Daphnia pulex: one gene and its partner. The protein of the gene in region 2 purifies or fractionates together with the protein of the main gene of each other region. This does not show direct contact. Links are inferred from orthologs where the notes say so. Each region holds a gene or a part of one and is shown on either strand. Other genes may lie near its edges. The genes, in order: striatin-like and striatin-interacting protein 1 homolog.

Evidence for each region.
Region 1: the proteins of striatin-interacting protein 1 homolog (region 2) and striatin-like purify together in Drosophila melanogaster (affinity purification with western blotting; 4 studies listed by BioGRID, with this or other methods). This does not show direct contact. The link is inferred for Daphnia pulex from reciprocal best matches to the Drosophila melanogaster genes Strip and Cka.

The regions. Positions count from the first base shown.
Region 1 is NC_060020.1:3,948,849-3,951,997, forward strand, and holds the end of striatin-like, read left to right. Parts: coding exon 1-62; intron 63-137; coding exon 138-342; intron 343-414; coding exon 415-584; 3' UTR 585-2,498; downstream 2,499-3,149. Other genes in the region: barrier-to-autointegration factor-like, read right to left, coding at 2,748-2,894, 2,976-3,101.
Region 2 is NC_060018.1:2,549,548-2,553,994, forward strand, and holds the start of striatin-interacting protein 1 homolog, read right to left. Parts: upstream 2,879-4,447; 5' UTR 2,708-2,878; coding exon 2,630-2,707; intron 2,574-2,629; coding exon 2,457-2,573; intron 2,401-2,456; coding exon 2,117-2,400; intron 2,056-2,116; coding exon 1,880-2,055; intron 1,807-1,879; coding exon 1,642-1,806; intron 1,578-1,641; coding exon 1,188-1,577; coding exon of another isoform or gene 1,119-1,187; coding exon 964-1,118; intron 899-963; coding exon 782-898; intron 700-781; coding exon 572-699; intron 418-571; coding exon 190-417; intron 117-189; coding exon 1-116.

The DNA of each region.
Region 1 (3,149 bases), on a different chromosome or scaffold from region 2:
CCGCTTGTATCCTCTTCGACCTAGAAACGGGTCAACCAGTCACTCGGCTCGACACAGATAAGGTTAATACTCTTTCCCGACATGCATCCCTCGTAAGGCCATTGTTAATATTTGACTCTTCCATTTATTTCCCCCAGGGAGTGGAGGATTCAGTGTTTGGACGGCAGATCAATCGTGTTATTTCACATCCTACACTTCCGTTGACCATAACAGCCCACGAAGATCGACATATCCGCTTTTACGACAACAACACAGGGAAGCTCGCACACGCAATGGTTGCTCACTTGGACGCTGTCACTTGTTTGGCCGTCGATCCAAATGGGCTTTACCTACTCTCCGGAAGTATGTCGTTGTTGACAGTAATCTCTTTACGTTTTGATCGTCTTAACGCCATCCGTTCAATTGAACTTGCAGGTCACGACTGTAGCATTCGACTTTGGAATTTGGAGAACAAGACATGCGTTCAAGAGATCACGTCGCACCGTAAAAAGTTTGACGAGTCTATTTTCGACGTTGCTTTCCATCCGAGCAAGCCGTTCATAGCCTCGGCTGGAGCCGACGCCCTGGCCAAAGTCTTTGTTTAGTGGAGAAAGGACACTCATAACCAAAACAAGAAAGGAGAATGCCATTTTTTTTTGTTGGATTTAATGGTAAAAATTAAATTGCGAGAAGAAACTTCAACAAAAAAAAAAAAAAAAAAAAAAATTACAAAAAACACAAAAACAAAAAGGCAAACCAAAAAAAAAGCTTCAACAGAAAGTCGATGAATAAATGCAGCGCGCATGTGCGAATATGCTCGAGTCACAGAACGCGGCAGTATATACAGCAGTGTTGCCGATCAGAGAGATATCTATCAACATGAAATCAATTTATCCAGGGCTGCAATGAAGTGATAAGAGACTACTAGCCCGTGTGCAATCTATGGCGATTCGGTATAATTTGTGTTGACAGCAACAGCATCACCAGCAACGGAGGAAACGACACAGGAAAATAAGGAGAAAAAATGCAACAACGTGAATTCATCAGATAAAAAGATTGGTGAACTCTCAGAAGACTTCTGAATTTTGATTCTACACCCCCCAGTCCCGTTGATTTTCCGTTTTTTTTTTTCCTTTTTTTTTGTTCATTGTTGCTGTTCTATCATCTCACAACTCGACTCCGACCTTAGCTATAAACCTTTGAGGGAAGAATAACGTTGTACTTTTAACCCGTCGTCTGTCTGGAAAACTTGTATCTTTTCCATCTTTCTTATCTTTAGTCTCGTAATATCTATCTCGCCCATGCTTCCGCCCCACTTCATTTGTAAAAAGACAAAGCGAAACAATTCAATTCCTCCGTTCAACTAGTTTCAAGGGGGGAAGAAATATTTCGATTTTTTTCTCTCTTCTTACTGACATTACCTCTTGAGTTCAATAACTTAACGTCTTTTAGAAAATATTCCACCCCACCAGTTATATATATATAGAACTAGGCCCTCAAACCGTGTGCATGTCTCATAGAACTTGTAGCTTCTTTTTACTTTACACACAAAGAAATCGTAGGAAACCAACTCCTCTGTTCCCTCGCGTTCTCCAAGGATCCACACGAAAGAAAAGTTAACTCAGTGTTAAAGTAGCCTTTTTCTGTTGTCAGTTTTTCGTCTTCTCTTTAAAAAAAAACTGTACAAATAATGTGTGGTTCGCGAAGGTTGGTTTTTACGGCTGTGAGCATTAAACCAAGGAGGTTGCAACCCTTACAATGGCTCCGCGAATGATTCTGTGGGGATATCCTAGATCAGATCCTATTCAGTGACTCAGAACAACTTTCAAGGCAAATTGATTAATGAAGAAAAAAAAAAGCGTTTGTCTCGTGTAATATTGTTAGCTCCCTTTCTCTGGTTGGCTTCAATGTGGCGTTTGGAAATCTTATTGTTTGTTTTTAAAAAATGTCAAGAGTTTGGGTTCTCGTGCATGTCTGTGAAAAATCAGTCGGGAAAAGTTTTATTCCGGAAATTACTGATAATGTTTTACACCCACCTCCTCCCACATAACAAACGTCCTTGTTGCTTGCCGTGCGTTCTTTTTAAATTTGAATCCCCTCCCGTCTTGTCCCTTTCCAACTGTAGTTATTATTACGAGACTAGGAAAAACTACTTGGTAAGTATGAATGAAAGAAGACGTTCGGTTTTTCCCTTTGGGTGCGTCGAATTGTCATCGCCTACTAATCGTTGACTGAAGAGAAGGAACAAGTGGAAGAAAAGAAGTCAAGTGAAAAATACAAAAAAAGAAATACAAGTGGATAAATGTGTGACGATATCAGTTGGGTAGATTTTGCTATTCTTGCTGCTGCAACCATGTTCTCTCAATGTAATCTACGATTCGAACAACAAAAAGTCTATTATTAGGGCCCCGACTTAGTGTGCGTGAAAGATCCCTATTCCCCACCTTCCCCTATTCCCACAAAAAAACTCAATTTCAAACATTGTCTGATTGAAAAAAAAATACACATTGAACTAATTATATTTTGATTTTTATTTAGAAGAACCACTAATGGCTGGTTTTCCAGAATATAACTTGTATGTTAATTTCATAGGGACATACATACATGCGTAATTAAAATATATACGATGCAGTGCCCTTCCACCAAGGCAGCGGCGAGCAGGTATTAAAAGTTTTAAGAGTATGCTGTGTGTGCTGGAAGTATTTACGATAGGTGGTGGTGAATTGAGACTGATAGCAGAACACCCGATCAACATCAATGGTAAAAGATTACAAAAACTCATCACACCAATCTGACAAACATTGGTGACAATCTCCTGCTTGTTTGGCGTTGGCTCCAGCTGTGTCTTTGAGCCAATCCACGAAAAGCTCTTTGTTCTTCTTTAAGACCAGGAATTGTCCCAATACAACAGATGCCTGCATATGTTAAATGGATTTTATTAAATTGAATTATATTGATTTGCTGGTATTGAGAGAGTGTAATTTATTTTTTTTTACCTTATCAAAGCCTTTCTTTTCTAAACGATCTCCTAGCACTCCTCCAATACCAGCAAGATCTGTAACAGCTTTTTCTCCCATAGGCTCAGCTACAAAGTTACGATGCTTCTGTGAGGTGGACGACATTCTGCAATTCAAAATAAAAATGTCACTCTTGGCATTGAAGAACTGACA
Region 2 (4,447 bases):
CGCATGAGAAGAGATTGCGCCAGCAGTAGGGAAGATTGGTACCAATTTCCAAACTCTCGGCGGTCAACTCTGGCTGATCGCCAATGACACACGAAGGGAAATCCAAGATAGCGATGCTGCAATCACGTAAACCGTTTAGCAGCCGGAAAAGAATATCGACACACTGATGAATCATCGTCTACTACTTACTTGTTTTTGGCGCCAATGTAGGCCATAATGTTCTGATTGAAGAATTTGAGTACGAGTGGGATGCAGTTTGCAAATACCAAGTGTTGAGACATGAACTCGAACTGGTAAACATGATTCATTTTCAAGTGCTTCAGGAGAAGCAACAGGATGGCGGCTACGGCTTTTACCAAGATTTCCTTGTGTCGATTCACGTCAATACCCAATTTCATCGACTGTAAAACAGTCATCCTAGAGAAGAGGCAAAAAATGGCGCATTAATAGTGAATGGTAGCCTTGAGGCGCGAGGGAAATTTTTTTCGGGGTCGGCACAAATGGATTTCCCCGTTTTCTAAAAATGGCCATCGGTACAAAATTACGTTTCTTTTCTTAGAAAAACACTTACGGCATTTCTTCGGGCAGAACGTCTGCCATAATATTAATAGAGTCTGTTTTTGCCTTGGAGGTCGGAGCGGCGGCTAGAAGAATTTTCAGAAGCGCAATCATGTATTGAGGCAAGCTCGGCAACATGGCCTGTATTTCAGATTTTGAAAAGAGAAAGAAAAGAAATAATATATATATACATATTGCAAACAGAAAGGATCAGAAATTAGACCTGATAAAGGATTTCCGCCGGAGTCAACGCTATGTCCTCCTGCCCTTTGGAAACCGGGTTTTTGTTAATGTCCTCTTCTCGTTGGATTTGGATCTCCGTCAACGAAAAGTAAGTGTGCTATGCAAAATAATATCACCATTACTCACAATGAACGGATGGAATCAGTTTTACACGTGCCTTACCTGTTTCAAGACACGCACACCCTCATGAATTGGCAAAGGAAGTCCTGCTAATGATACTCGATCGTTGGGGAGCATGAAACCTACAAATTTCATTCGCGTGGTATCGAGAAATTGATCGATATCCTTTTGACGAACTTTCGGTGTCCATGGTAGTGCTAAAAGATAGAAAGGATATATTTTTTTTTGTTTTCCGGTGCTAATTTGTTCTTTATAGTGAATGCTACCCTTTCTTGGTGCTGGTGTCGTAGGTCGTGGGCTTGGTGGCTGAGGTATTTCTCCCGATTCTTCCATGGCTCTTCGTTCTTCTATTTCCCTCAACTCATCATCGGCTTGATCGTTATTGTCCAATTCCATGGTTAGTGATTCATCTAAGGAACTCTGTTTGACTAGGGTCTGCAAAGAAAAATCAAGATTACAATTTGTCACAAATCGAATGCTAAATAAAGGATAAGAATTTACCCGTCGGAAAGGACGGGCAGCTGGACCCGGTTTCTGATTTTGAGCTTCCAACAGATCAGCAGCTGATGCAGGAGGTGAAGCAGCGCGCATGGTCCGTGTTACTTCGATGGTATCTTCTATTGGCAATGCCAGACCTGCCTCGGTACGATACTTCCCTGAAAAGATGGGAGGAAATGATAGATGGAAATGATTATGGACGAAATTACAATTGGCACAAACCTTTCAACTCTCTCTGTTCCTTCATTCCACCAAGAGATACAAGCAGCACTTTCCATAACAGCAGCAATACTTTCTTCATTGGGAAATGCGGGCAAGATCCACTGCAGAATTTTGTGACCATACTGAGAAGTTTTACAGCTAACAGTTCATCGTTGATGGGCTGAGCTAATGAAATCATCGATGATCAAAAGAAACAATGAAGGATCTAATACAGAGTAACTCAATGAATGTTTTTTACCGATTTCAGCTCGAAACTCTTCTTGAATCTTCTTGAATTCGTCACTGTCCTCTTCTTGGGAGGAGCGGAAGACTTCAACGATCGTGTAAAATACCGACAGAATTACACGAAGATCCCAGCTATCTGCAAGACTGACAGCTAATTTTCTTATGGCAGTATTTGCTGCTCCACTGTTTCTGTACTCAGAAGTTTGTTTTTAATAAATAAACTTGTAATAATAGGATATGTAGTACTCACTCAATTTCATAGTTTAGCAGTTCCAGAAATGTGTGAAAAATTCCAGTTTTGTACAGCAAGAGAACATTGCTTCGAGTCCAATGCTGTTGCTCAGCATCACTCTGGACTTCACCCCAGCAACCTTGAGCAATGTAGAGGATTGCTCGAGCTGCTTTTATCCTCAAAGCTTTGTTACTCAGCTCCAGTTGTTCTGCTAGTTTAAGCAGAACACTTACCCTAGTGGAATCATTCAAAGTTTGCCAATGGGGTCTAATGTGGAAGAGTTCCATCAACTCCTCAAATGCCTGATGAAAAAAGAATTTAGTTGATCAGCATCTTTAGGTCAAAATGCCAGGCATACTCTGATATTTGATTGGAACTCTGGTCCTTCTGTGTAACTGTAAAGCTCAGCAGTTTCATTAGGATGTTTGTCAGCATCATCATAAACGAAATCCAAGTCGGGGCAGTCAATAGTTCCCTATGACGATAAAAATTCATACGATGTATCCAATTTCATGAAATAAATTTACAAACCTCTGAATCTTGACGCTGTCTTCTAAGAATCTCTCGCAATTTAGGTGGGCCTCGCCTGGCACCGCCGGCTTCATCCATTTTCAGACTTTTCGGGCCAGTTTATTTTTATACCATGAAACAAAATTACTTTTTGACATCTCCCTTCCCTCTCCAGAAAGGATATAAACAATCTCTCAGAATGTGGGGCCACCTAGCGGCCACGATTACAACTCGACTAGGGTAAATGCATCATTGATTTTGTCTCGACAGCGTTTACGACGCTTCACGATGGAAGCAAAGAACAGACGTCGAATCCTTGATTGGAGGAGGGGGCATTCATTACGATTTATCGCCAACCGCGCGACGTCCACCAGCCAATGCCTTCCAAACCAAACCTCGGCCAAAAACCAGAGATCTCCTTGTACGGTTTGAAATCATCTGGAACTTGGTCGATGATGGCAGACAATAAAAACGGAATATGCAGCTTTAAAAAAAATTGAGCTTGCTCCAAAAGCAAAACTGCGTACATTCAAACAGGATCAAGGATAATGTTTCTGAATCGTACATTTCGGCGAACGATCGATAACAGCAGAACCAAAAGTGTAATATTGCCTATACGTGACAAAAACATGGTTCGATTTTTTGGATTTTAGAATCCAAGAGAAACCAATCGATGGAAGCCCCTGGAGTCAAAACAGGTCACCGTTACGAAAATTCGGAAATCTCTAACCACAAGGGCTATTTTCCTCCTATTATACTCTGGAATTGGAATACATAGAGCAACCACAAACGACAGCTTGCACATCGATCGTCCTGGATTTCGACGATGTTATTACTATTCAGACGGTACGTATCTTTTTTAATTACCTCCATTACAGGAGAAACTCGAAAAGGAAAAAAATATAAAATAAAAAACTGAAAAAATCTGATAACAATAAATCTCCTAAGCCCATTAGCCATGGCTCAATGCAGCCAATAGGTGGACATCGTGTCTGTGAGCGTGGACCAAATTGTAACGCGATGCTTTAACTTGGAGAGGGTTAGAAAGGAGGTTGCGAAGGTTGGAAAAGCCCCGCCTGAACTGATGAAGTTACACATACACATGGTGGCAAACGTATGTGTTCAGCCGGGACTGCCGAACATGTAAGAGCCAAAGGACGGGTATCGACGAGAAACCTTATTTGGGTCACGTATGATACTCGACCTTTATTTCGTGTGTGTGTTTTTTTTCCTCTCTCCCTGAAGTTTAAAGACCCTGGGCTTGCAGTACTGTCGCACTGAACGGATGTCGTCAGACGCCGTGTCTGGAGCTGAAAATAAAAGCCTCTACAGACGCTCACGGTCGAGCTAAAATAAAAGAGAGACTGAAGAAAGAGATGAACAACACACCAAACGAGAGTCTCCTAGTCGCGGAGTAGGAGAGTCGCTGAAATAGAGAAAACTAGGGAGAGGAGAAACCGGTGAGATTTTTCAAACAGGATGGAAAGATGAAAACAGACGAGAGAGAGAGCAAAGAAAGTCTTGACTCATCGTGACCTTCTCCCGGAGAGATCTGGCGTCGTTTCTTGGTCAAAACTTTCTCTGTTGGTCTCCAAATTAAAGTCAGCAGACCTGATCTCTTTTTTCTCTTCTTTCGATTCTCCTCTTTCTATTGGATTTCTTTTTTTTTTCGTTTCTTGTCCGATTTAGGGCAAGCGGCCGCCATCGTGTCAACACGAGCGGCGCAGCTTTCGATTTCGTTCCTCTCAATACCGGAACGACAAAGTTTACGGCCAACAAAAATGTTGCACGAATCGAACCAACGACCTCCTTTTTTATCAGATCCAATAACAAAAAGGA